Mus musculus: one gene and its partners. The protein of the gene in region 5 interacts with the protein of the main gene of each other region in a pairwise test. Links are inferred from orthologs where the notes say so. Each region holds a gene or a part of one and is shown on either strand. Other genes may lie near its edges.

Region 1 (3,980 bases), on a different chromosome or scaffold from region 5:
TGTGACACAGTGAACAAGGCATTGGGTTCCAGTGTCCCTTTGGCAGCTCCAGTCAGATGAGAGCTCCTCCTGGGTAATGTGAGATCAGTGGCCTGCGTCATCTGTGATGTCCCCTCTCTCCAACTACAGGCTCGGCCACGGCCTACAGGGCTTCCTCCCAGAGCTGCCAAGGCGTGGGGAATTGGTGGTGCTGCACAAAGCCTGAGGTCCTCCAAGCCACGCAGCGCAGCATTTTTGCCCTGCCCAGGTTAACCCGCCGGTTTAAGACTTCGTGGTAAAGATTTTGCTGATGGCTCTTTTCCCTGGGGAACACCCTCACTAGTGATCACATATGAGGGAGGAGGTCACAGAAACTGAAAGGCTCTAGTCCAAGTGACACAGAGTGGGGTGTGTGTGTGTGTGTGTGTGTGTGTGTGTGTGTGTGTGTAAATCCTGGCAGAGCTGATCCTGGCCATGCATTCAAAGTGTGGCTTACTGTCATGCAAAGGACAGCCTCAGCATCTTGCATGGGTTAAAGCGACGCTTTCGCCTTGGCATGGATGGAGCTCCTGGAGGCAATCACTTAGACTGTGGCCCCAGGGTTACCATGAAGCCAGCTTTCATGTCACTGAAGAGCGCCCACAGAAGTGGCACCTGGGCTCACTCTGAAAGAAGGAGGCCATTAAGTCATCCTTGGGTGACTACAGATAGGTGACTCGCTTTCTGGATAGCTGGCACAAGATAGCATAGGGATAGAGTGGAGCCACATTGTACTGTCTCCTTCTCAGGACCCACCCCTGCCTGTGCAGGAGGGAAACTTGAGGCCACAACAGTCTCCTGTCTTCAAAGCTACTAAGAAAACGGCACACATCTTTTCCCCAAGACCCTACTACAAGGTTCTAAGCTTATTTATGGCCGATAGCCTCAGTCCCTCCCCCACCTGCTAGGGAGCTGCAGCAGCTAGCCACTCTGAGGTTTCACCAGCCCCAGACCCTGGGCCTGTTCTTGCCCTTTTTAACCTTGGTTCACTTATGGAGGCCAAGCCAGCTTCCTAACCTGTTTTGGTGGAAAGGCAAGATAAGCTGGGCTGGATGGATTCTGGAAGCTGATAGCCCACACCCAGTTTTCCACACTGGGCTGAAGGAAGTGCTCAGCAGGGAGGGCACAGGTGCTAAGTAACCATCTCTCTCTATCCCGGTATGATCTCCCCACCCTCTGGAAACAAAGGCCGTCTAACCATGGCTGACCTCCATGGTGGCTACTCTTGTCTAACTCTGGGAGAACTTGCCATCAGTACAGACATCGCAGCAGCAGTGGCCAAACCAGAACAGGGCCTGGCCACGACCAGGGAGGAAAGGCATGGGGGTCAGAGAAACAAAACCTCCCACTCAAAGACCCAGTGACCTGTACTGGGCTGGTCCTCAAGGATTAGCAAAAGGTGGGGGGCGGGGGGACACAGTTATCCCCACACAGGCCTGGGAATAGAAAGAAGGAACAGAGCAATCCTAAGCCTTCCCAGGCTTCTCTTACTGAGTCAGCTCAGGGTGGGGGAGTCCCACACTATCCACAGGGAGGCTGACCAATGCAACATGCACTTCCTCCACAGGGCACCTGAAAGGCATGGCCACCCTAGGAAGAAGAGTTCCTGGAGAACATGTTGCAGGCTGACTCCGTCTCCCTCCCTCCCTCCTTCCCTCTCTCCAATCTAACCCCTCCCCAGTTTGAGCTAGTCACTGTGGTATCAGGCATGCCTGGTTAGGATGGAGCCCTTGAGGGTTCTGTCCAAGTCCCAGTGCCTTCCTCTCTTCCTCTTCCTCTCCCTCTCCTCCCTCTCCTCCAGGAGACCTGATACACACACACACACACACACACACTGGATAGAATCAGCCAGCAACAAAGTACAATCTGACACCAGGAAGGAAGGTGGGCAAAGAGCCATGGGAACACCCGGGAGTGTTGTGACAGCAGCTTCTGCTTAGCAGCCCCTGGGGATGGGCAGGAGTACCCCAGAGCCTACACACATACTAAGAAACCCAAACACTCACTGACCCCTAGGAAATACCCAGACCGGAGAAGCAGAGAAGGTTAACATAATATCCCTTAGGCAAAGAGCAAACTAGTTTCCACTTCACCCCTGTGTTCCTGGAAGCCCAGGCACCCTCATCTCCAGACTCAGGAGCTTTGGAGGGGATGTATGTTGGGGAAAAGTAGTCAGGCTTCCCCGTGAAGTTCCGAAGGTTTTTGCTGTCTGCTGTCACAATCTAACCACTAATGGACACTGACTCCTACAGCGGGGCACGCAGAAGACACTGTTAGAGAAGGAGGCTTTCTAGACGTCAGAAAAAAACACGTGCTTGCTTGTGGAGGTGAGGGAGTGGGGGTTGTCACCCATCAGAACCAACTTCTTGGTTCTGAGACCCAAGGGGTTCTCTAGCTTCAGGGGAACCATCTAGACCGTGACTGCTCCAGTGTTACTCCCATCGGGCTGGAACACCGGCTCTGGTCTCTCCTTGGGACCTCAGTATCCCCACCTGGCATTCAGGGGAGCGGGTCCCAGGAAGGAAAGGCCGGGAAGGCCGCACTGCACAGCGCGGGGCAGGAGGCTGAAGACCCATATCCCTGCTCAGCCCCCACCTTGCGGATGCTGCCGTCGTCCTGCGGCCGAGAGCTTTCCTCGCCAGTGCCCTGGCCATCTGGCCTCTCCTCAAGGATCATCGCTGCTCGCTCGGACGCTGACTCCGAGAGGCTGCGAGCAGCAGGCCCCTCGCGCTCCAGGGAGGATCAGCCGCGCTGCTCCGACTGTCCCCCTCCTGGAGGGTCCGACTGACCGGTGCGGCAGAGCGCGGGCCCCGCCTGCAAAACTTGATGTTGTCCAATCAGAGGTGAGGGCTACTCCGATGGATAGAAACTACTACCAACCAGAGTGAGAGAAAGGCGGGCTCCAGGTAAGGGATCTGGTAACTCTTAGCAACCAGGGCCGCTCGCCGATCAGGGTACGCATGCGCAACGCTAGGTGTTAGGCGTGCGGAGAAAGTTAGGAAAAGACAAGCAGAACTGGGGGCGGCGACCAAGAGCCGCTGCAGCCTCTGCAGGGACTTCAAGGCTTTATCTCGTCACCCCGGCAACGGGACCCTCCAGGATTGCTCCAAAAATGTTTACAATGGGGTTTTTTAAACGGTTTGTTAGAGACAAGTGCTTGTGCTGATTCTAAAACAATGCCTGCTTTCTTCCCGGCACTAAGAGGCAAAGCGCCGCTGCGGTCCCCTTGCTTCCAGAACCGCCCCCAGAAACCTCGCCTCCGGGACCTGGTTATGCATTTTGTTTCCAGAGCCTACATTCTCCTTGACCTCCTTGTGCTTCCAGAACCGGATCGCCTTCCAGAACCCGAATTGGTTTTAAGAATTGGACTTTTTCCAGAACTCGAGCTCCTTGCAGGGCTTACTCCGAAGCACTTCTCAAATTCATGTGGGCTGGCTCACACTAGATGAGCTGAGAACACAGCCTAGAAATGAGTGGCTAGCCCTTTGTCAAGCTGCTCCAAAGGTCAGCCTCCTCCACGCTGCCCGCCACCCTGGTCACTGCTTGCCCTGACTGAGTCAGCGACTCAGTCTCTACGCCCCATCCCCCTCACACACACCTGGCTCTGTCATCCCCAGATCTAAATTTGCTCGGCTAAGCTCTTGGATGTCCCTGGACAGTGGGCCCCCGCCAGAAATGCTTCTCTCATCTGCCCCGCTAGCCTCTCCAAACTTCCTGGCATTTTTGATCCCAGGGCAGCATTGTCCCCTCCCCTCCCCTCCCCTCCCCTCCCCTCCCCTCCCCTCCCCTCCCCTCCCCTCCCCTCCCCTCCCCTCCCCTCCCCTCCCCTCCCCTCCTTTCTTTCCTTTTCTTTCCTCTAGTATCTTCCTGTGGAGTGTCACCTAATTTCACTTCTTCCTCCACTGACATCCTCATGAGCAGCCTCCTCCATCTCCGGGCTCTTATGCTGCCTAGGTGTGGTC
Region 2 (4,034 bases), on a different chromosome or scaffold from region 5:
GCTCTCCGCTACTTGTGGAAGGAGATCCTAAGGAGGCAGTCCTAACATAGAGAAACCGATGCCCAGGAATGCCCACCATGCCATTAGCCACAGTAGCAGGAGACTGGAAAGACCTCACATAGAACGTCCACTGGTAGAGCAGCATCGCGCTGGGTAAGATGTGTATGAAGGGCTGGCTGCCAAGGTGGCTTAGTGACTAAAAGCACGGGCTGCTCTTACACAGGATGTAGGTTTGATTCCCAACACAAACACAGTGGCTCACAACCATCTGAAACCCCAATTCCAAGAGATCCAACACCTTCAACCTCTACAGGCACCAGGCACACATGAACAAAACACTCAATAAAACTTTTAAAAAGAAAAGAGAGGTGTATTAAGGGCCAGCAGTGATGGATCTATGGCATACTAATATGAGAACTGTAGTTTAGATCCCAAAGTCGCATAACTGCCTGCTGAGCACGGGAGCCTGCAGGAGCTTCCAGCCCGGGAAGGTGGAGTCTGGGCATTCCTGAAAGAAGCTGGCTATCAAGACTAACCATATCAGGGGCCGGAGAAACTGCTCAGCAGTTAAGAGCACTGGTTGCTCTTCCAGAGGACCTAGGTTCAATTCCCAGCTCCCACTTGGAAGCTCACAAATGAAATTCTAGATCCAGGGGATCTAGCGTCCTCTTCAGGCCTCTAAGGACACTGCATACTGTGATTAAAGATGATGTGTAGGCAAATCCCCTGTATACAGTTTTTTAAAAAGGATCGGCCATATTAGAGAGCTTTGGATTTAATTGCTACCTGCCTTCCTCAATGATTAAGATGGAGAGTGATCAACCTTGCATACTTGAGCCCACACATGCACATATACACAAAACATGGGAGTTATGGGGGTGGGGAGTGATATCCATGAAGATTTGGCAGGAGACACTGCTTAAGAACACAAAACAATTTGAGGTCAGTGGTAGTGGTCCCACCAATTCTTTGGTCAGCACAGTGATGAATACTTCATAGCACTCTGAGGCTGACACAGGATTGCTGTAAGTTCAAGGCCAATCTGACCTACATCGTGAAACCCATACTCGTTTCTTTGCTGGCTTTTCTCGAGTGTGCAGTTTTAGGAAAACTTTGTTCTCCCAACACGCTTGTTAATAGCATGCTACACCTTCTGCTCTGTAATACAGTTATTGCAAAATGAAGGCATTGGGTTGGGGAGATTCGGTGGTAAAGTGGTTGCCATGTGACAAGGAGGGCCTGAGCTCAGTCCACACAATCCAGGTTTAAAAAAGTGGGTGTGGTGGCACAGCCCCGGGGGAGGGACAAACAGGCAGACCCTGGGACCAACCAGCCAGCAGCCTCTCCTACTTACCAAGCTTGCTGCCACTGAGGGACTATCTCAGAAGACAGGTGGACGGCCAATGGTGGTTCAGTGAGTAAAAACTGTCACCAAGCCCGACTACCCAGTTCAGTGCCAGAAAAATACAGAGGAAGAGACAGTCATCTCCCACAGTTTCTCTGACTTCCACACATATACAAAGTAAATTGTAATTTCTTAAAGGAGCCCTCAGGGGCTAGAAAGATGACTCAGCAGCTCAGAATACTGGTTGTTCTTAAGAGGTCCTGAGTTCAATTCCCAGCAACCACATGGTGCCCTGTTCTGGTGAACAAGAAAACAGCACTCATACATAAAGTACCTAAATAAGTAAATTTTTAAAAAGGGGGACAGGGGCCCCCTAAAGAGTGACACTGATGTTGCTCTCTGCCCTCCACATAATCTCAGAAAGATTCAGGACTAGAGATAGGGGTCGCCCATTGGTGGAGCCTTTGTATAGCACTGCGAAGCCCTCGCTTCAATCCCAGCAGCATAAAACAAAACCCTCACAACAGCTAAAGTAATCTGCACTCTTCCAGATACATCTGCTGCAGTTCCATGGAACCAAGTACGCTGCCATCGATCCGTCAGTGGTCAGTGCGGAGGAGCTAGAGGTGCAGAAAGGCCGCCTCGGCCTCAGCCAGGAAGAGCCATAGATGGGGCTTGAGATGCCGAACCACCCTGCTCTTGCACAATCAGTTCGGGTTCGTTGGTCGGGCACACTGGTCCTCACCCTTCTGGAAGTCGGACTGATTGTCAATCTCATGACAGGCGTCAGCTCTTCTAAACCAGTGTGACTGGCCCCTCTCCACATTTGTTTTTGTTTTAAACTTTTAAATTTGAAGAACTTTTAAAGACTCCCATTTTAAGAATTGTGAAAATTTTGCTACCAAAAGTCTTCTCCACTCTGTTCATCTCAAAAGCTTGGGATCATGTGGCGTTCTCTCTTTTCCTGCTTTCTATAACTGCTGCACCCACCTCCAGGTTAGAAGAGGAGCACCGGTCATTTTTATGCTTTCTTGGGCATAACCAGAGGGTCGAGGCTGGCAGCCTGCTGGCCACTCCCTACACATCAGCTTTTTTGCTTTCCAGTTGAGCACATCATTTTGAGTATTAGCTGTTGTATTTCTAGACATTACATTTGGAATAAAAATTGAATTTCAGCCAGTGGCTTCTGTGATGAGTGAGGCTGCCCCTCTGGGCTACTGGCCAGTGCTGTGTGATGTCGGGTGAACAAGTCCATCACTCTGACTGCAGCACGGCTGGCTGTTACCTGCTGACTGCCGCTGTAGCCTACGTGCTCTTTTAATCTTTTTCACTAATGGGATTGTTAAAAAAGAGATAGAGTCTCATTTAGGCTAGGCTGGCCTTGAACTCATTATGTGTCAGGGCTAGCTTAGAGCTCCTGATCCCCCTGCCTCCACCTCCCAAGTGCTAGGATTACAGATGTTATCCTGAAAGATCACCAGATGCCCGATAGAAGTGGTTTTAATACATATGGAGAACATAGTAAACTGTCTCCAGCTCTTGATCCAATGTAGAAAACGTCCAGCCTGTGGATAGCCTTGTCTCCCTCCCGCACTTTTCTACATCCCTTCCTATCCTGGATGGCTATAAAGCATTTCCATGTGTCCTTTCAAGAGATATGATAGGATACTTGAGACGCTGGGGAGATGAGTCTGTGAGTAAAAGTGCGTGCTGGACGAGCATGAGCACTTGAGACCGCCCAGTGCCCGTGCACAGTGTCAAGAGTGTCCAGGCAGCCTGTAACCTCAGATAGCCCAGTGCCCGTGCACAGAGTCAAGAGTGTCTAGGCAGCCTGTAACCTCAGATAGCCCAGTGCTCGTGCACAGTGTCAAGAGTGTCCAGGCAGCCTGTAACCTCAGATAGCCCAGTGCCCGTGCACAGTGTCAAGAGTGTCCAGGCAGCCTGTAACCTCAGATAGCCCAGTGCCCGTGCACAGTGTCAAGAGTGTCCACATAGCCTGTAACCTCAGATAGCCCAGTGCCCGTGCACAGTGTCAAGAGTATCCACACAGCCTGTAACCTCAACACTAGCTGCAGGGCATCCATTCTCTGGCATCTGCCCACACATACACAGATATATACACCCATCTGTATACAGGTATCTATACAGTAACAAAGAGGTTATTTGATAATAAAGGTTGAAATATCTGTATATGTAAGGGGTTTTATTCAGTTCACATAGTAGAAAATTTATACAATATACACACATATAGAAAGCTATAATTAACATTTTGAAAAAATTAACACTTATGGGAAATTATTGACATAAAGCTAGAAAAAATTAATATCTTAACTATAACCATAAAAAACAAAAATCTTGGGCCAGCAAGATGGTTCAGCAGGTAAAAGCCCTTGTCACACCAGCCTGATAACCTGTCTTCAACCCCCAGAAACCACAGTGGAAGAAGAGAACCATGTCTACACATTGTCCTCTGCCTTGCATGTGTGTGCTGACACATGTACATGCCCATGGTCATACACACATAGTAAATTCTAAATAAGCTGGCATGGTAGTGCATACCTTTAATCGTTAGCACAGCAGAAGCAGGAAGGTGTCTGTGACCATGAGGCCAGCCTGGTCCACACTGTGAGTTCCAGATCCATAAGGAACACCGCCCCCCCCCTCCTTAAATAGAAACCAAGACTCTTGG
Region 3 (3,934 bases), on a different chromosome or scaffold from region 5:
AAATATGCAAGAATATATAAACACTCAAAGTAACAATAATTCATTCTGTCTTCCGAATGTCTCAAAGGCTGCAGCATACATACATACATACATATGTACATACATACGTACATGCTGTAACTGTGTGCATACCCTGTGGTGTGCCTGTAGTTACTGTTAGTATTTTACCTAGCACTTTACCATACTCACATGTTAGAACATTTACTCTTTCCTAAAGTTTAGGAGTAGGTATCTTCTATCTCCTGATGCATCAAATTAAACAACTAAATCCTAGCAGATGATTTCCAAACAGTTTCAAAGCCTGCTCCATTACAGAGAATGCTACCATGAGCATCTTTAAGGAAGACTTTGACAGATTTTAATTTTTTCTTGGGCACGTATTTTTACAGAACGAATTGCAAAAGAAAAATAATGAATACAACTATTCTCAGCTCTCTCTTTATGATATGTTTCGCCAACTCATATTTCTCCTTGAAGTTTGCACGTGTACATTGCTCTTGCTGTGTCAGCAACAACAAAATGATTAGATATTCAACATCAGGTCTAGTAAAAGTTAGCATGGTATTTTAATTGCCTAACTTTTTTTGCTCATCTGACTGCTACTGACAATCACCTGTTCCAGCTGTGGTTGAATTACCTTTCTTTTTTCTAACAACCCCTCATTCATGTCTGATTTTTATGTACTTATGCTCACAAATAAGTTCTTAATGGGCCCAGGTTTTGCAGATGTTTCCCATTTCTCATGTTCACAAACCTTTGGGTTTTATGCATCTGGATTCAAATTATCCATCCTGACTACATTTTATGTTAACACACTTTATATTAACTATAATAACAGTTTTATTATTAGTTTACCCAAATAAATGCCGAGTGCTCCAATTATAATCAATTTAAATGTTATTTGCCAGTCCCCTTTTACTGACTTAAAATGTATGTTTATTAAATACCCATTTTTATTTTATCCTTAAATCTCTTTCTTCAGTTTTATTGTAATGTCTGGGATCATTCTACTGTCTGTTCATTCTTTAGAATACCCCCTTTTTTTTTTAATATAAAACAAGCTGCCATGTATTTCATTTAAATTGCAGTGTGGCAATTCTTTCAAATAGTCTAGCTAAAGAGCCAGTTTAAAACTATGAATGAGTTACGATTCTGTTTAATTATGTATTATTTAAGGGACATGATATTTTCACCTAAGAAAATAAATTTTATTGGGGTCTCATGTGTAGCATAATTTTAATACTTGGAGTTTCATATTCATATTTTTATCCACAATTCATAGTTTAAATAAATTTGTCATTTTTCTGTTATTTATACTAAAGTGTGTTTTCACTGTACTTTCCTGTAGTTGAGCCTCAAAAGACTTACAAAGTGTGATGCAACTGGAATGCTTATTAACTTTGTTATTGTCCCTAGGCACTTAAATTATGCATAATGTGCCATCTTTGTGTCCTCTGTTCTGGTGATGTCATTGGGCCATACAATGTGACAGTGTGGCTACTTTAAGGGTTACATAATGCCTTGCTTCCTTATTTCCCATAACAAGGAGCTGGAAGGTGGAGGTTGTGTGTTTACTTCTGCAGTAACATCTGTATCCCAGAAGTATCTTGGAAATCAACCTTACTGCATAATGTCTTCATAATATACTTCTGTTACTCTTGCTGGCTCCACTTAAACTACTATAGACAAAATAAAAGCGCAAACATACTGCGGTTCTTAAAAGTGGGTACATCCACACAATATAAGATATAAAATTCTAAGTCCTAAAAGGCTAATATTGTACTCTGTAAAGTAATGGGGGGGGGGGACACAAACAAACAAACAAACAAAAACTTGTCTCTATCTTTTAGCCCCTGCCAGTAAAACCTTGCAAAGTTATCTGAAAACATCTATGCCCAAGGCCCTAGGAGAGACCCACAGAGCTGCAAGGAGGGGACAGGCTCCACTGGTGCAAGAGGGAAAAGTGTGGAGAGGGTCTCCTGGGAAGGGCCTGCACCCTCGAGAGTTCATGTCACCAGGGCCGAATGATGCTCCCATAGAGCCTTCACCCAGCACCCCATTGTCCTATCAAGAGCCGGGGGAAACCAAGCGGACCCCAACACAAGAAACCCCACCCCGCTCCACAAAGCGAAAGTTGCGCAACCACCTGCGGCTGAGCTGCCCCGCCTCCTCCACTGTCACGGAGCCCGCGCCCTCCATCCCGCATCCCCCTAATCTCCCAGGGTCCCCCGCTCCCCGCTGGCCCCTCTCACCGCCCGCAGCTGCAGGCGTCGCCGGCTGAGCTCGCTGTCCTGCCTGGGGGAAGGCGAGAGGCGCCGAGGAGCTGGGACGATCCACGCGGGGCAGCCGGGGGAGCCTTCCCGGGAGGGCTTCCTGCAGGGTGGGGCGCCGGCGTCCTGAACCCTAGCCAAACGCAGGGTAAACAAGTTGTGGGCGCCAGCGAAGCCCGCGGGGTTGAGCTCCGAACCGCTCCTCTGCTGGTGGCGGGAAGCAGCTGGTCTACCAGCCTCACTGCTCGGCTCTCATTCCCATCCCTGGAGGAGACCAGTTTGATCTGGGAGGGAGAGGGACTAGGACTGGGGTGCTGGTGGGGGTAGAAGCAGGCTCAAGATTTCTGACTCTCTAAAGAGGACTTTGGTTACTTGGTTAATTGCTGCTGTCAGGCACACATAGTTTTATCAAATTAAAGTGGTTCGGTCCGGTACAGTTAGCTGAAGGAAGTGGACGAACCAAATGTCCTTTGACCTCACTCAGAACCACAACTGGGCACAGCCTGACCTGAAGAAGCTGCCGAGAACTTGGCCTTGCAGGCTGCGCTCTGGGAGGAGTTTACATGGGGGTGGAGTTCTGGAATTTTCCATTTTCCCTCGCACATGATTTGTCAGAATAGATTTAACAATTAATAATGTTCTGGTCGGTAATATCTGCCAAGAATACTTCTCAAATGAAGAAATACAGCCTTTTATTGAAAGCATGAAACAAACAAACTGACATCAAAGTCTTAGCGAGATGTAATGGTTTGAGTTTGTTAGAGGGACCAAGAAATTGAGCTTGTGAGTGTGAATATCTAGATTGGCCTCATGAGAGATACCAAAAGCATTCAAGATCAAAACATGTCTGTGGAAAGAGAGGCCCATTGGTCTTGCAAATTTTATATGCCTCAGTACAGGGGAACGGCAGGGCCAAGAAGTGGGAGTGGGTGGGGGGATATATGGGGGACTTTTGGGATAGCATTGGAAATGTAAATGAAGAAAATACCTAATTAAAATAAAATTTTAAAAAATCATGTCTGTGAAGCATTGCTTGGAAGACAAATCAAATATATGAGAGCAACCACATAGGCACTCAGGAGCTATGAGCCAACCACATAGGCACTCAGGAGCCATGAGCCACCGCAGAATTCATGGGCTTTTGCATTTCCAGAGCAGGTGTCCAGCCTGAATTCCTGAGGGTTTGGGGGTGGGGGCTGATACACACTTTCTTTATGAATCCCTACTGCAACGTGCCTCTGTCTCTTTGACACTCTTGGGGAGGGAGAGGTGTTTTGTGTTGTGTTTACAACAGTCTTAATGTCAGTAATGGAGCAGTTCAGTAAAATTAAAGTTTCCCCAGGTTCCATTTCCTCAATCCTGTGTTTTTACTGTAATGTTCACAAACGCACAAGCTGTAAAACTATACAGAATATGGCATTTGGGTCAGCCATCAGTTACTTGGGTTTTGACAAAACTTAGATTAAAAAAAAAAAGGCAGCATTTATAGTGTCCCATGTGTGTGATTTCTTTCTTTCTTTGTTTGTTTGGTTTTTTTTTTTTTTTTTTTTTTTTTTTTCGAGACAGGGTTTCTCTGTGTAGCTTTGGCTGTCCTGGAACTCACTCTGTAGACCAGGCTGGCCTGGAACTTAGAAATCTGCCTGCCTCTGCCTCCCGAGTGCTGG
Region 4 (3,959 bases), on a different chromosome or scaffold from region 5:
CATTGGTTTCTTTGCTTTTTAAGTTTTGATTTATCTTATGTGTGTGTTGCCTGCATGTATGTATGTGCAAGATGTTCGTGCTTGGGGCCTGTGGTGGTCAAAAGAGGGTATCAGATCCCTGTCCATGGATCTGATGTTACAGTGGAACTGGAGTTACAGTGGCTGTGAACCACCTCATCAGGATTGAGTATCCAGCCCTCCTCTGTAAGAGCACAAAAGCTCTTATCTCTGAACCATCTTGCCAGCTTCCCTTTTATGCTCCCTTGAGCTGTGACCGCCAGCCTGGACCCTCCTTGCCTCTTCACTGGGTCTGGCCCACATTTAACACTTATCAATAGGGGAGGAGGGATAATCGATGATCCTTTATTGAAATGAAAATAAAAGGTCAAACCCCTAACTGTGGCCTTCAAGCCCAGCTCTTAGTTGCCTCTCTGGTGTCGCATCCATTTGTCCTCATGTGTCCTCCCTAGGACTTAGTCTAGGAAGAAGGGACTAGAGGTTTGAGAGATAGAAGCAGATTAAGAAGTACAAGTCAAATCTGAGGTGAGTTTGCAGTCTTAGAGGTTGATCCATGTTAGAGAATGGGGCATGGCTGAAGCAAAAGGTTCCGGAGAGTGGAAGAGGGTCAGGGACCAATGTTTAGGGCCACTCGGGGACACTTGGAGGCTTAGAAACAAGACCTCAGGTCCTTGTTGTGGGGCGATGACTGTAGACAGAAACCCTGAGCAGTAGAAGCCAAGAGCTTCTGGGCTCCAGCTAGTGGAGAACTGATGTTCCTGGCTAGCTAGAACCCTAGCTGGTAGAGGACGGGCAGTTGTCTGTGATGTATGAGACCCTGGGTTTGATCCCTGGCACCAGGAAATAATAATAATAATGGGTGGGACTCAGAGATGTGCGACTGAGAAAGCCAATGACAAAGGCAGACTTGAGACTGACTTGGTGGGAAAGAAGGGCCAACAGCCAAAAAGAATCTTACAACGAGGCTCAGGCCTTTAATGGGGACACAGAGACTAGAGCCAAGTGGCTCCTGCCCTTTCCACAATGACAGCCATGACTGTCTTAACTCCTACAAGTCAAGGACACTAAAGGGAAGCCCTCAAGGTCCACCAGCACCCAGGGTGAGCGAGCTCTTGGTAGGAATACCTTCCTGGGAGAAACCCTGAGGAGGGTCTCAGGGGACCATAACTGTTTGTGGTTGGCATGGTAACCAAGAGACTATGACATACTTAAAGGGTGGGTGAGGTCACAGAACACAAGCTTTAAAGTAAGTGAATCATGTGTGGCTCATTTAATTTTAAAGGAGGCCTCTGAGAAGAGCTTAGAACAATTTTTTCCTCTGAGTGCCATTTCCCAAAGGTACTCACAGAACAATAAGGTGTGACCATAATGGCCGCACTGAGTTGTCTTTTGGACAGTGTTAGGAGGGACATAAAGAAGGTGGACAGAGAATTAAGACAATTGAGATGTATCGACGAAATCAGCTCCCGCTGCCTGTGTGACTTATACATGCACCCGTACTGCTGCTGCGACCTGCATCCCTATCCCTACTGCCTCTGCTACTCCAAGCGATCCCGCTCCTGTGGCCTGTGTGACCTCTACTACCCGTGCTGCCTGTGTGACTACAAGCTGTACTGCCTTCGCCCATCGCTCCGCAGTTTAGAGAGGAAAGCAATCTGCGCCATTGATAAGAAAGAGTGTTGGCCAAGGGAGAGGGTGTGACCTGAGAATCAGTGTAGCTGCCACATCGGTGGGAAGAGGCGGGGACATGGGGAAAGTGACAGATGAATGGATGTGAAAAGGGATCTAGATAGTGACTCAGGGTGACCAGGAGAGGCTTAAGAAGAGAAGGGTAGGTGGGCCAGCAGTGGGAATAGAGAGGTCTAGAGGGGCAGTGTGGTAAATAGGGTAGCCTTAATGAAGGTAAAATAGGGGTGTCATTAAAAAGCTGTTGGAAACAGCAAACTCAACAAATCTGGGAATGACTGAGGTGATCTGAGTGTATTTGGGCTTGCAGAAATGACTGCAGGAGAAGAAAGTCAAAATCAGTCAAATCCTTACTGTGGGCCAGAAGCCTCCACAGCAGAGGCTGAACACTGGAGGCGTTTCCCCAGTGTGTGGGAATCGTTCTCCCACCGAGTCTCAGGCAGAGTTGATCTATAGCTAGGGCTGCTGTGCTGGCCTCCCCTCCAACCTCAGAAGGGATTTGCGACATCACAGGTTGCAGCCAGCATAGTAGATTGGGATCTCAATGGAATTGGATAATATAATTGGGGGGAGGGTAATATTTCTTTAGTTTCTTTTCCTATCCTTTCCTCACTTTAACATATACAGTCTGTATACAGGGGAGAAATGGTGGAAGTGGGCATTGTCCCCTGGTTATATAAATGACTGTACACCCATCCAGTGGATTAAAGAACTGAGTGTAGTAGCCGACTCTGAGGTGGAGGCAGGAGGCTCACAGGTTCTGATACAGAATGAGTCTGAGGCCAGCTTGTGCTCTGTGAGACTGTCTCAAAAGGTTTTAAAAGGGGATTGAAAAGTTGGAAAGTTTTTATGTATGATATGTTCAATGAAAAGATCAGCAGCAGATAAGCCAGACACAAATTCGATGGATGGGAGGATGGCCAGGCAGATAGATGGATGAATGGAAGAATTATTGGGTGAGAGGGTTGATGGGCAAAGTCCCTTGACAACAGTGATGTTTCACTGAGAAGGATAATGGGACAATTACTGACGATGTCACTAAGGGTCAGGATCAGACCTACCTGACAGTCTGGAATGGAATAGTCACCTACGAATTTATCTATATTTTGAACCAATGTTTATTTTTACTCCTTAGGATGTCAAGTTTATCTAACTTACATTGTGAAATAACAATTAATACTTGGTTCAAATATTAAGTGTCTTTGGGAGCGGGTCTGTGTCCTCTCTCCGTGGCTCTAAATTCTAACATGGTCACCTGGTGCCTCCCACTTCTCCACTTCGCAGGGAAGATGTTTTTCTCTCTGTCTGTATCCTCCTGCCTCCTGCCACAAGGCCACAGTAGACTCGACTTCATGCCTTATTCCCATATAAGTTCAGAAAGAGCACTGCTGTCTCTGGTCTGTGGCACCTTTCCTGGTAGTGTCTAGGTCTCCTCAGTCCCAGCCTTAGTGTGTGAGGCGAACAGTGTCCTTAATTTCTGCATCTGCGAATCTCAGACCTGCCTGCTCTTTATCTCTCCCCCAGCACTTTTCTTCCAATTCATACCACCTTACCAAGTGTCTGCACTCTATTGCCAACAGCCTGACACTGTCACTGTCTGAAAGGGCTCAGTGTCATGTGTAAAACTACAGCTTTAGTTTTCCTGAATAGGAAAATGCTAAGCCCAGATCTGAGCTCTAATCCCAAAGGACTCATGACTAATTTTTTCTTTCAATTAAATGCTTTCTTTTTTTCTTATCTTTAATCTAGCATCTGACACATGACTGAATAGATCTAGAAATAATCTCCATTCAGGTTTTTTTTTTTTTTAACACCATCTTTAGAATGAAACTGTACTCAAGGCTTTCTGAGTTTCAAATTCCTATCTTTATGACCTTTCATTCCTTTAAAGAATGTCTGGGCACTGGTCTTTTCAAGTGTTGCCCAGACTTTAGTAACAAATTTTAAATCCCCTCCACGAGTGTCTGTGGTTTGACTGATTGATATGTGTGCACACTGGGCTTCTTTAGACTCGGATTAAAAAGTCCGACCCACTAGCATTTTGCTTAAGTAGCTGCTTCAAAAAGCTAAGCCTGAGTCTTCCTTAGTGGTGCCAGACTTAGCTCTTCTGTTTCCTTAGCTGCTTCAGTTTTCTCCTTTTCTTCTTACCTTTGCAGCTGCAAGCTCCAGCAGTCGCTTGACTTTTCCCTTACTTTTGGATTCAAAGGGATGGAGAGGGTAGAATCTGTTTTCTCTCATGAAGCCACACAACCAGT
Region 5 (4,083 bases):
TGTCAGCCGATGTGGTGGAAGATGGTCAGGTCTGCCTGTGGGATGGGGGTGGGGGTGGGATGAGTCCCTGGAGGAGTGGGAGTGGCCCGAGGAAGGAGCTGTAGCGCCAGGACCTCATTCCTTGCACCTGGGAGGCATGGGCTTCACAGAGCACCCAAATAGGAAAGTGAATGGCACAAAGGAGGCTTTACTATCTTTCTAGGTTTAAGTCAGGCTGGGGTTTGTGAGTTAGGGGAAGGGAGGGGCGAAGGCTTAAATGAAATGAGCTTAAAGTTTGATTTAGATTGGACTGGACTTTGTAATAACAGCCAGTCAGACCGCTTGTTAACACCCGAAGGTGACAGGAAAAGCGATAAAACGTGCCCTAGATTCCTCCAGAAGAAATGGGAGGCCACATAGAATAATGTAAAAAGACAGCCGTGTGAAAAGTGCTCTTTCATGATTTCCCTTCACAATATAGACCAGTTAGTACAAAAATTCAGCTGGTATAAAATGTTGCTCGGCACAGCAATGCTGGGGTGGGGGAGGGAGCCCATTTTCCCCACACTCCCGACCCCCAAGAGAAAGCGAGCAAGCACATCAGTAAGCCAGCATCTCATTGTCTTCTCTGTCAGTCTGTCCCAAATCTTGTGAGCCAGAGGCTGGAGAAGCCCCCCGGCTGTCTTCAGGCTTCCCAGGTGCGCTGCTTTCAGGCGACCTGGAAGGGCTACTGAGAAGTCCTGCGTTCATGTTTACTTCTGAGGAACGTTGTGAACTACGAAGCAGACAAGCTTGCGTTGAGACAAGAGTCTTTCAAGTGGGTAGCCGGCTATGCATTACCCCTAGATTTGGAGGCAGAGGCAAGAGGATATCTGTGAGTCTCAAGTGAGATCCTGCCTCAAACACCCCAACTCCCCCACCCCCACCCCCGCCAAACCCGCACACAATCACACACAAAACCCTTACAGAGACTTCTTTAGTCTCCTGTCCATCAGCCCCGCTACATCCCTTGCGAGTTCACCCGCTGGACCCCAATTCTTCCTGCTGCACGCAATTAAAAGAGGCTCTCTCTTCCGATTGGACCACAGCACATCCCACTCGTGGGAGTCAGGAGTCTAGGTCAGCGACCTCAGGCTGCTTCTCCTTTCTCTGGGGTCTGAGGCTGGATGCTCCGGACCACTGTGGTCCCGTGAGCTGCCGGGTCGTGTCGGGCCAGCAGAGGGCGCTCGGCTCCCCCCACGGGGCTCCGGACGAGAGGAGGCGCCGGGGCTCGCGAGCATCTCCGGGCGGCCGGGAGGGGGTGCGCGCCTCGGGCCGCTGCAGCCCGGCTTCTGTCACCGCGGACGGCACCTCACTGGAGGGTGGGCGGGAGCGGCGTCTTTGTCCGGCGAGGCGTCCTCAGCCCGGGCCATCCCTGTGATCAGAGCCCGGCGGCTTGGGCGGTGCCCAGTGGTGAAGTGCGCGGGCGGAGGGCTGGCTGCGGCCACGGCCCCAGGTACCCCGGTGCCCTAAGCTCGCCACCTGCGCCACCTCAGCCCGCGCTCTGTCAAGTTGCAGAAGACCCGGGTGGGTCAGGAGTCTGGACGCGTGGGCGCGTTGCAAACTCCAGCTGCGAAGGAGCTGCGTGCGGAGGTAGCCCGGCCCGGGATGCTCCCGGAGGCTGCTCTGGTCTCTCTGCACATCCTTCTTGGCTCCTCCAGACCCAGGTGAGCGACTGCTGTCCGCGCGTCCCGATCCGGCTGGAGACAGGTGCAGAGCGGGGCGGAGGCGGTGCCTTTTGCTGGCTTCTCTGGCATCAGAGAGCCCGCTCCCCGCTGCCCACATCTTCTGCTCCGCCGGAGAGAGGCTGCAACCCACTCGCACCTTCCGGGGATGTCAGGTTGAGCACGGTGTTTCAGAGGCGACAGCGGGTTAGCCTAAGCGAGCTCCCACCCCTCTCCACCCCCAGCTCGGGATAATTCGGTCCGTGTCTTCGTCTTAATTTAGCACCGATGTGTTATTTCCTTGGAGCCCTAGAATGGTAAGGCTTGCTCCATCCATTTTTCAACCCCCTTCATTCTGAGTCTGTGCAGGGAAAGGCTTGCAAGTGATGTTACTACCGTTCTATTTTAAATACAAACACCCAGAGAAGTACGCTTGGCGGCGTGCCAGAGGCGCCTGCACTCTTTTGTTATGTAAGTGCTTCACAGGAATATTTGCTGGTTGGTAAAGTTAGGAGCGGTTACCAGAGAACGTAAGAGCGCAGGAAGTCAGAGCCATAATTTCTGTCTTAGCTCAAAACTTTCCTTCAGGATAAGCATGAGATGGTTTTGGTATCATTTAAAGGCGACAGGAGGTCCTTTCAAAAGAAAAATTCATACCGTAGACTCTCAAGCGTTAAGACACAAAACAGGCTTTTTTTTTTTTTTTAAGTCTGTTATGAAAACCAGTGGGACGTCTCTGACAATAAATAGGTGGGAAGTGACTTAAAGAAATAGATCCCTGTCACATAGCCGTTTTGGCTTTTAAGTTGTTAGGTAGTTGTATTTTGCTGTCACGTGGACATAGCTAATCGTGTGTTGACAGTTATTAAAGATCTCTGCTCACACGTACCGTAATTTTTCAGGTACAAAGATGAGAGTGGAAAACATCAGATACGCATCTTGTTCTTACTGGTTTCTGGTGATGGCATTTGTTATGTGTGTGGCTCATGTGGAGTCAGGGTTGTGACTGTTGGTGGGCATCGTTTCGTGCTTCGTTTAGTCTCCAGCAGCATAAGGTGGGGCTCGGTGGGTTCGAGGTACCCCAGCCAGGCGTGTGACATATAGGGAGAGAAACTTGTGTTTGACTGGAGAGAAGCTAAAGATTTTAGCCCGGGTCTTTTTCATCTAAGTGATTTTCCTGCTTGTTTTCCTTGCAAAGAAAAGCTGTGTGTACCGGGGGTCCTTAGTACCACAGAGGGTACCCATGGGAGTCTTAGTTGGGGTATAGTGCATTGTGCAGAGGAAACCCTGAAAGTTCAGTAGTTTTGGGGAGAGGGAGTGCCTTCTTTTTGTTTGCATGATTTTTTTTTTAAAAAATTGTTTCACCAAGGATTATTTTTCTCACTGAATGGATGTTTTCATATACTATATAGGAGTGCAATCAGTCAATCAGGTGCACAAAAGCCTTTTTGGTAATTTTAAGGACAGAGGGAAAGCTGGCATCTTTTATAAGTCCACATTTCCACAGCTTGGGGCGGGCTTACAGAGGCTTTATGGGAGCTTATGTAAGAGCCACGACGGTGCTTTTGGTACTCGGTTAAACTCCCTGCTTTGGCTATTACATAATTGACATGGAACTAGGCTGTCAGAGCTGAAATCGTGAGGGAGAATGTATAAAAACCTAGGCTCATGTGGGATGCACACAACACACACACACACACACACACAGACACACACACACACAGACACACACACACACAGACACACACACACACAGACACACACACACACAGACACACACAAACACACACACACACACAGACACACACACACAGACACACACACACACACACACAGACACACACACACACACACAGACACACACAAACACACACACACACACAGACACACACACACACAGACACACACACACAGACACACACACACACACACAAACACACACACACACAGACACACACACACAGACACACACACAGACACACACACACAGACACACAGACACACAGACACACACACACACACACACACACACACAGACACACACACACACACACAAACACACACACACACACAGACACACACACACAGACACACACACAGACACACACACACAGACACACAGACACACACACACACACACACACACACACACACACACACACACACGGCTTTATAATGAATAGCTGCTGCCAAATTAGAGGGAGCAGCAGGGATGGTCGTTTGTGAACGGGAGATAAGAACTGTGTCAGGAGGATGGCTGGAATAGAAAACTGTTAGGTTTAACAATTTTCTAGAGACCTGAATGCTGGCTGAAACTACTGCAGCCCTTTCCATGCTGGCTATACAAAGAGGCTGGGAATCTTGGCCTTCTGGTCCCTCACCTGGACTTACTTTGGGAGGC
Region 6 (4,154 bases), on a different chromosome or scaffold from region 5:
ACCCTTTGCCTGACGCTACATACATTTAATCTCAGCAGTGAAGTGGTAGGGCAGAGGCAGGGGAATCTCTTGAGTGTAGGGTCACTTGAATAAGAGTAAAGATTAAAACTAGCAGGACATAAGAGGGGTTTAATGTTTAGACAGCAGGTTGGATAGATGAAGAGGGTAAGATGCAGGGGGAATTTGGGGAACGCAGCCTCAAAGAGGGAGGTCTTTAGGGGAACACAGAAGGGCAGAGGTCCTGTGACTCTAGTAATATACCAAGGAATCTCTACAAAGAGATTTTCAGGCCAGCCAGGGCCAAATAGTGAGACCTTGTCTACAAACATACCACACCTATAATCCCTGTAATCCCTCTTAGAAAGTGGTGGCAATAAGTTCAGGCCAAAACTGAACTCTAATTTGCCTAGCAAACCGTATTTTAAAGACTAAAACACTTGTGACTGTAGATGCCCCATTCACCAGCATGTACTATGAATGTGGCTCTAAATTATGCACAGAAGACAAGTAGTTTTACATTGTCCCCTCCACCACTACTACCCCTGACCCCCACCACCACCCCTGCGCCGCCAAAAAAATTAGTGCTACTTTTTGGTTAAACTCATTTTGATGTCTGGAGAACATCTAAACTCATTTCATTTATACAGTACAATTTAATCTTGAAAACAGAATCAGCCAACACCCTAGAATGAAGCATTCGCCACTCTAACGAGTGCTTAAAATATGTTGTTTGTGGAAGAGGTTTGCTAGGCAGGAAATTGCCTAGCAGGGAACCTAGCTCAATTGGTAGAATTGAGCTTGATAGCATGAATGAAGCCTCTAGGACCACATGAACCGGTCGTGGTGGTACATGCCCCATAAATTCAGCACTTGGGAAGTAGAGGCAGGAGAGATCAGAAGTTCAAGATTAGAGACTATATAGCCAATTAGAGTTCAGTTTTGGCTACCTGAGAACCTGTCTTTAAAAAAAAAAAAAAAACCAAAACAACCAAAACTAGAAATCCGGTAAAAAACAAAACAAAACAAAGAAACCCCTAGAAATCAGGTAAAGTTGGTTAGATCATGGAGCACTATTTTCAAAACTCTGATTCTTTGCATAATAGAAGAGATGAGCTATTCTTCTGGGCTTGTTTTTAAAGCCAGAGAGAAAAACGTTGGCCCGTGCCCTTACTTCCGTGTAGCTTCACACTCCCTTTGCGCCTGCGCCATCTCCCTGGAGCAGAGGGCGGGGCCAACAGGACTGCCTTAGAATCGCTCCAGTCCTAACGCAGTCAGAATGAGAGGCTCGGATCTTATTGGAGCGTGATCTTGCCTTCTGGCTCCAGGGCGCGTTTTACTGCACTTTACGGCTTCCCATTCACTTCGCTGTGAAGATGGCGTCTGGCAGCGGGGTAGGTGTTGGTGTGACGAGGTTTGAGGGGTCTGGGGGATGGCTTTTCAGAGCTAAATAGAGACAGGCTGTGAGATTTGACTGACTTCCTGACACCTCTTCGCGATCTCAGGGTTCAGGTTCGAGAGCTCCCCCGTAAGGCCTTGGCGCAGGGACAGTGGAATCTCGGAAGTCTCTCGGGTTGGGGGTCCCGAGTCCACCAGACCCCTGGGCGTTCCAGAGAGACTTCTCTTCCGAAAGGTCCTGGGGCCGCCCCGGTGGCCGTTAGGCGGTTCCCTTAGTTTCTCCAGGGCAACAGGCACAGCTACGTATCTTGAGCACCTTTTCCCCCCCTACAGACAAAAAACTTGGACTTTCGCCGAAAGTGGGACAAAGATGAATATGAGAAGCTCGCGGAGAAGAGACTCACAGAGGAGAGAGAGAAGAAGGATGGTGGGTGCTCGCTCCACGAAGGGATAAGGGGACGGTAGAGATGATGCTGTGGCTAGAGAAGGAATGCCTCAGCAACAGGATAGATAAATCACTTGCAGTTAACGAGGCAAACAAAACAAAACAAAACAAAACAGAACAAAACAAAAGCCCTAAAGCTTTTTCCTCTCCTTTTTACGTGAGCTTCCCCTAGGCGTAGCCCATATTCCAAATCAAATCAAATCAAAACCTCCCAAACAAGCGTGTCCAGCTGCTTGGGTCTTAGTTGATTCCAGATGTAACTGCATGAAAACATTGAACATACGCTACTCGGTGTGAGTACCCCTCTTTTGAAAGGGTCACCTCCAGGAAAAATTCAGAACTCCTCAGTTCAACTAGACAACACATAGGAAACACTGTTTACATTTGCTGGCTTTAAAGGGAGAAAAGCTCTTGAGAGTTGGCAGTACCATTGCAAGTCTGAGGCCAGCTTGGTCCACATAGTGACCAGGCCTATGTCTATATAAGTCCAGGCCAATTAGAGTCTTTCCTAGCCTCTTTGAATTGCTACATAAAGTACCTGTTGTGTCCGTTCTTTGAGGAATTAAAAAGAAAAAAAAAAAAAGCATGAGTAGTCTTCTGAATTTTGGGGTTCATAATCTTTTTCCTTTCAGGGAAACCAGTGCAGCCTGTCAAGCGGGAGCTTCTGCGGCACAGGGATTACAAGGTGGACCTGGAGTCCAAGCTGGGGAAGACGATTGTTATCACCAAGACGACCCCACAGTCTGAAATGGGAGGGTGAGTTGCTTCCTGTCCGACTCTTAATACCACAGCTGGCCTAATAAACTGTATTGGTTTTTAGGAAGTGTTGAGGAGAATCCTGGGCCCAGGGATGGCCACCGTTCTGACCATAACCTGATTCTTTGTCTTTCTTTGTCCCCTGAAGTTTGTAGCCCACTCGGTCCTATTTCTAGGAGGGGTGGTTCTCTGGGCTTCTTCCTATTGGTACTGTAATACTTCCCTGATATCTTCAGGGGGGCTATATAGTCTGTTAGAAGACCTGAAGGCTCGGGGTGGGTTTTAGGTGGAGCTGTTAACTATAGTTTTTGTGCACCAAGATTGTGACCTATCGAAGAGTTTCACGGACCTTGTCACCCTTTGCCACCATTCCTTAAAGTCTGTCAAAGTTACAACTTACATCAGGAGACTCAGACAGATAGCAATCCACTGTTGTGATTCCTTTGCTGTGTACATTAAATAGTTAGCAGCATAACATAATAATAGCTCATAGTTTCTGTGGGCAAGGAATTGAGGGGTGGTCACCTTGGAGGTTCTGGACCTGGGTCTCTAATAAAGCCGCAGTTGTGGAATTGACTAGGTTTGCATTCGTTGGGGCTTAAATAAAGTTAGAAGGTCCTCTTCCAGGCCCTCCCGTGCCTGTGGTTCGGAGGCTCAAGTTTATTCTCTGGGCCTGCTTGTAAGGTCATTCACAATGAAGTGTAAAGAGGGACTTTCCCTAAAGCAAGTCATGTGAAGTTTGTCTGTTTTGTTAATTGAGACATTAATTAGACATCATCTAATTTTACCTAGAGATTTGAGTTTCTTTCCTGAAAACAGTAAGATCCTTAGAAACCAGATTGACCCATGTGCTGTTTCTTCCCATTTGTCAGCTACTACTGCAATGTCTGTGACTGTGTGGTGAAAGACTCCATTAACTTCCTGGACCACATTAATGGAAAGAAACGTAAGGCATGGAGGTAGTTGGTGGCTGGAGCTGGGTTGGGTTTTAAAGGTGTGCTGGAGGGCAGGTGTGGTAGAGTGGTTTTCTGGGGCCTTTCGTTTGTTCGTTTGTTTGCTTGCTTGCTTCTGAGTATCCCTGGCTGTGTGCTACCTGTGCATGACCACAGAGGCCAGAGGAGGACGTTGGCTGGCCTTGATGATAATCTGCCCAGTAAATAGGAGCAGGTGAGGCTGAGAGCTTCTTTTAGCCATAGTTATTTTTGTTGTGTACTTTATTATGAAAAGGTAAACAAGTAAACAAACCTAAAAAAGCCAGGGCGAGACTTTCCCGGGGGGGGGGGGGGTGGCTGAGGATGTTATAATGACTTGTCTCCGTTGTTAACCTCACCCAGATCAGCGAAACCTGGGTATGTCCATGCGCGTGGAACGCTCCACTCTGGATCAGGTAAAGAAGCGTTTTGAGGTGAACAAGAAGAAGATGGAAGAGAAGCAGAAAGATTATGATTTTGAGGAAAGGATGAAGGAGCTCAGAGAAGAGGTGAGGCTCTGCTAACCCTGCTCCCCAGCTTGGAGTGTTTTCCTTGTGGACCGAGGGTGGCCCTCTTCCTCCGCTCAC
Region 7 (3,500 bases), on a different chromosome or scaffold from region 5:
TAAAAAAACGAAAGCTGTTTGTAGGGGTCCTTTTCAAACCTTGTCCTGACTCATTCCGGAGCCAGCCAGTCACTGCTGGGTGAGGTTAAGGGTCACCCGCATGCTACAGGTCCTCAAGTCCGTGCTTAACGTGCTGGCAGCTGCGGCAGCCTCCCTCTATGTTTCTGCACCATGCAACACACTGTCCACAGGGCAGCACAAAGGGTTGTCGCCAGTTCTGTTCTTTACCTCTGGGCAACAGTAGGTGACAAATGAAAATACATTCACCCCTGCTTACCCTCAATAGCCACCTCTGCCACTGAATTTCATGACAAACTAAAGGGAGAGCAGCAGACTCATCAGTAGTCATTTCAAAGCCTCCCTTAACTGCTGTGCTCCCTGTACTTATATTAGAATATGAAAACAAACTGTAGAGAAATAAGTTCCACAGGGCCACTAGGGGGTGCTCTTCTCACGTCACAGCTGTCCATTCAATGGTAGAAGACACAGGAAGAGAAAGGGAAGGAAGGTCTCATCAAACCCAGCCACTCTTCTAGAGAGATATTACAAGCATCTGTTGGGGGAGAAATGGTACATTGTCGAAGTGAGATTATCAAAATGAAATTGTCAAGGCCTTACATTCAGGCTTTCAACACTCTGCAAGAACCTTTAAAATACAACTAGATACACAGCAGATTGCCACTTCATTCAGACAGCTATACAAAGGACTTGTCAGGGACACACACCAGTATAGCTTTATCATGACAGGAGAACACCATGGATTACAATGGATTAAGATCTCCTGCTCCAAGAAGGATTGAAGGCTGTAGATTGTGGCAGTCAACAACAATGACCCCAAACTAATAAACATGTCATCTTTCACAGCAGGAAAATGAGAAGAAAATTCAACTTCCTATGTACACTTCTGGGAAAAGACAATATTTGCATAAGATGAAAATGCTAGAGATGAACCATAAAAGACAAGAGGTAATGAGAAGAGGGTCGCATTTACCAAATATGGAGGGCACCATCACTGTCCCACCAAGGCCAATCTCTACTCGGCACTGGAGCAGAAGCTGCCACTGCCCAAACTGGAAGAAACAGGAAGATGACCTTTGCTCCCAGCCTTGATCTCTTTTAATGTTCTAAACATTTATTTCCTTATTTTGTGGGAGCACAGGGCACACACATGTGCTACAGTGCGTGTCTGGGGGCCAGAGGCCAACTTTTTGTAGTAGGTTTTATTTTCTTCCACCATATGGGTTCTGGGTCTCGAACTCAGATTGTCAGACTTGGCAGCAAGCTCCCTTAATCACTGAGCCATCTCACTGGTCCCTTGGGTGTCCCTTTGTCTTTGTCTCTTTGTTTTGTTTTTGACATAAGGTCTCATTACATAGTTCTGGCTGACCTGGAACTCACTCTGTAGGCCAAGATAGCCTCCTGCTTCCTCATTGTTGGGATTAAAGATATGAATCACAAAGCCTAGCTTATGTCTTCTTTTTTAAAACAAGCTGCCTTGGACCCTCTGGTTGCAGCCAGAAAATAAGGTAAATCAATAATACTAGTTTCTTGGTTTACTTAGAGAGGGAAAAGAAGTCAGTGTATAGTCTGATACACAGGCCTCTCCCTGTAATCCATGCTGCAGAATTTTCTATAGAGAAACACTTGGTACTGAGCATGCTTGTACCCCATGCTTGTGGGGCTGTGCAGGAGGAGTGCCACAAGGTCTAGGCCAGCCTGGGTTACATAGAAAGTTTCAGGACAGCCTGAGCTACGGAGTGAAACCCTGTTTCCTTTTCTGCTGCTATAAGAGAATACCAAAATGTGTTAATTGACAAAGACAATAGAGATACTGCTCGTCGATCCAGAGGCGGAAAGAGCTAAGACTGAGACACTGATGATACAACACAGCACAAGCAAGGAACGCAGAAGGTGACAATGTTCTTGAGAGTGAGGGGTCAGGGGGCAAGAGCAAGCCAAGGCAGGCAAGCAGCCTTTCTAGCTCTTTCTAGGGAGAACTAGCCTCCTCCTGTGACAGTAGTTTTCCTCTATCCTGAAAGTGAGCCACCTACAAACCAGCATAAGGATTGGGGTAGGGATATGTTTCCAATCTAGATTTTAGGAAGACACACTGGAATACGTTCTCCAGTACAGCTCTGCAAGTGTCCTACCCTAAACGCCGCTCTCTAAGGAAGCATCCTGTGGTTCTATCCTCTGTAATTCCAAACACCACATCTACAGACAGAGGCCAGCAGGCTTCCTCTTTCCATTGGCCATGCCTCTCTGAGACAGTGAGCATGCTCACTTGTCTCCTAACAAGCCTGAGAATAAAGTTCCCAGGAAGAAAACCACTCCACTGTGTTCACGGGTGTTCAGGTCTGTGAACTGTCCACCTTTGATGTTGCTGAGATGCTAACCTGTTCAGGCAGGGGAAGACGGTTTAGGGGGACACTAACCACTTCTAGTTGATCATTTCAGGCCCAAATGGAGTTGAGGAAGAGTCTTCTGAGTAAGGCGATGCTTGATATGCAAAAGCTGAAGGACCATAATGGCAATAAAATCGCCCAGAGCAAGCCAAGGAGCAACGGCTATGACATTCTCACCATACTGCCTAATGAAAACATAAACAGAGATCCAGGTGAGCCATTTCTTTAGTAAAACATTTCACGGGGTGTTTTTGTTTTGTTTTGTTTTGTTTTGTTTTGGGAGTTTAGTTGTTTTAAGACAGATTTCCATGTAGTCCAGGCTAGGCTCACTATGTAGTCAAAGATGACCTTGAACAGAATTCTGATCCTCCTGTCTCCACCTCCCAAGCACTGTATTGCACCACTCTCCCTGGCTTGTTTATGCCACGCTGGGTGTTAAACCTAGGACTCTATATATAGCAGGCAAATTGTCTGCCAGCCTAGCTACATCATTGGCTCCCTAGTGTTGTTTTGAGACAGGGTCAAACTTGAACTCAAGCCCCCACCCTGCCCCCACCTCCATATTTTACACACTGAGATGCAAGCATGTTTTAAACTTTATCAAATAAACATCCATGATGGGCAGGGGAAGAAGAGTTAGGGGACAGCAAATACCTACTGCTGGGGGGCTATGTGACATCTGAGAGTGTACATTGCATTGTATTTTGCATCTCTGGGAGGAAAAGATAAAAGCTTAAGCTCTCCATTCAGGCTTCTCTCTTCTTGTAGGTGCTAAGTGCTTCAAAGGCACTCCTGAAACCCTAAGACAGGCTCATAGAATCATCTTACTACCAGAGACGGGGAGGCTCTTACAGATCCGTGACGTCTGTACTCACAGGACAAATACTTATCAGACCCTTATCCCTCAAAGCACCCTTGGCCAAGCAGTTCAGCCTTCTTGGGTCCCCAAGAATGTCAACAGTGAGTCTAGCACCACTGCCTTTTCCAACTGGCTCCTGCTGCAGCCACCATCTTTACTGGGGAGGCCCTCATGATCCATGCCACTTAGGCTAAAGCTAAATTCCCAGTCCCATGTTCTGAAGTTCTAGTTCATGA

Evidence for each region.
Region 1: the proteins of Mtus2 (region 5) and Rhpn1 interact in binary tests that used the Homo sapiens proteins (3 or more experiments, as listed by UniProt). The two-hybrid records come from large-scale screens. The link is inferred for Mus musculus from reciprocal best matches to the Homo sapiens genes MTUS2 and RHPN1.
Region 2: the proteins of Mtus2 (region 5) and Spg21 interact in binary tests that used the Homo sapiens proteins (3 or more experiments, as listed by UniProt). The link is inferred for Mus musculus from reciprocal best matches to the Homo sapiens genes MTUS2 and SPG21.
Region 3: the proteins of Mtus2 (region 5) and Plscr4 interact in binary tests that used the Homo sapiens proteins (3 or more experiments, as listed by UniProt). The two-hybrid records come from large-scale screens. The link is inferred for Mus musculus from reciprocal best matches to the Homo sapiens genes MTUS2 and PLSCR4.
Region 4: the proteins of Mtus2 (region 5) and Odf1 interact in binary tests that used the Homo sapiens proteins (3 or more experiments, as listed by UniProt). The two-hybrid records come from large-scale screens. The link is inferred for Mus musculus from reciprocal best matches to the Homo sapiens genes MTUS2 and ODF1.
Region 6: the proteins of Mtus2 (region 5) and Zmat2 interact in binary tests that used the Homo sapiens proteins (3 or more experiments, as listed by UniProt). The two-hybrid records come from large-scale screens. The link is inferred for Mus musculus from reciprocal best matches to the Homo sapiens genes MTUS2 and ZMAT2.
Region 7: the proteins of Mtus2 (region 5) and ccdc198 interact in binary tests that used the Homo sapiens proteins (3 or more experiments, as listed by UniProt). The two-hybrid records come from large-scale screens. The link is inferred for Mus musculus from reciprocal best matches to the Homo sapiens genes MTUS2 and CCDC198.

What each region holds. Positions count from the first base shown.
Region 1 is NC_000081.6:75,703,108-75,707,087, reverse strand, and holds the start of Rhpn1 (rhophilin-1), read right to left. Parts: upstream 2,801-3,980; 5' UTR 2,695-2,800; coding exon 2,614-2,694; intron 1-2,613. UniProt on the Homo sapiens protein: Has no enzymatic activity. May serve as a target for Rho, and interact with some cytoskeletal component upon Rho binding or relay a Rho signal to other molecules.
Region 2 is NC_000075.6:65,484,937-65,488,970, forward strand, and holds the end of Spg21 (maspardin), read left to right. Parts: intron 1-1,896; coding exon 1,897-2,013; 3' UTR 2,014-3,534; downstream 3,535-4,034. UniProt on the Homo sapiens protein: May play a role as a negative regulatory factor in CD4-dependent T-cell activation.
Region 3 is NC_000075.6:92,456,244-92,460,177, reverse strand, and holds the start of Plscr4 (phospholipid scramblase 4), read right to left. Parts: upstream 2,801-3,934; 5' UTR 2,253-2,800; intron 1-2,252. UniProt on the Homo sapiens protein: Catalyzes metal ion-induced ATP-independent rapid bidirectional and non-specific movement of phospholipids (lipid scrambling or lipid flip-flop) between the inner and outer leaflet of the plasma membrane and participates in the redistribution of phospholipids between membrane leaflets.
Region 4 is NC_000081.6:38,218,044-38,222,002, forward strand, and holds the start of Odf1 (outer dense fiber protein 1), read left to right. Parts: upstream 1-1,159; 5' UTR 1,160-1,386; coding exon 1,387-1,664; intron 1,665-3,959.
Region 5 is NC_000071.6:147,956,037-147,960,119, forward strand, and holds the start of Mtus2 (microtubule-associated tumor suppressor candidate 2 homolog), read left to right. Parts: upstream 1-1,283; 5' UTR 1,284-1,685; exon of another isoform or gene 1,686-1,999; intron 2,000-4,083. UniProt on the Homo sapiens protein: Binds microtubules. Together with MAPRE1 may target the microtubule depolymerase KIF2C to the plus-end of microtubules. May regulate the dynamics of microtubules at their growing distal tip.
Region 6 is NC_000084.6:36,792,569-36,796,722, forward strand, and holds the start of Zmat2 (zinc finger matrin-type protein 2), read left to right. Parts: upstream 1-1,354; 5' UTR 1,355-1,373; coding exon 1,374-1,391; intron 1,392-1,728; coding exon 1,729-1,822; intron 1,823-2,472; coding exon 2,473-2,596; intron 2,597-3,468; coding exon 3,469-3,542; intron 3,543-3,930; coding exon 3,931-4,076; intron 4,077-4,154. UniProt on the Homo sapiens protein: Involved in pre-mRNA splicing as a component of the spliceosome.
Region 7 is NC_000080.6:49,231,929-49,235,428, reverse strand, and holds part of ccdc198 (uncharacterized protein CCDC198), read left to right. Parts: intron 1-864; coding exon 865-966; intron 967-2,457; coding exon 2,458-2,617; intron 2,618-3,500. UniProt on the Homo sapiens protein: May be involved in tuning the metabolism, energy expenditure, and excretion processes.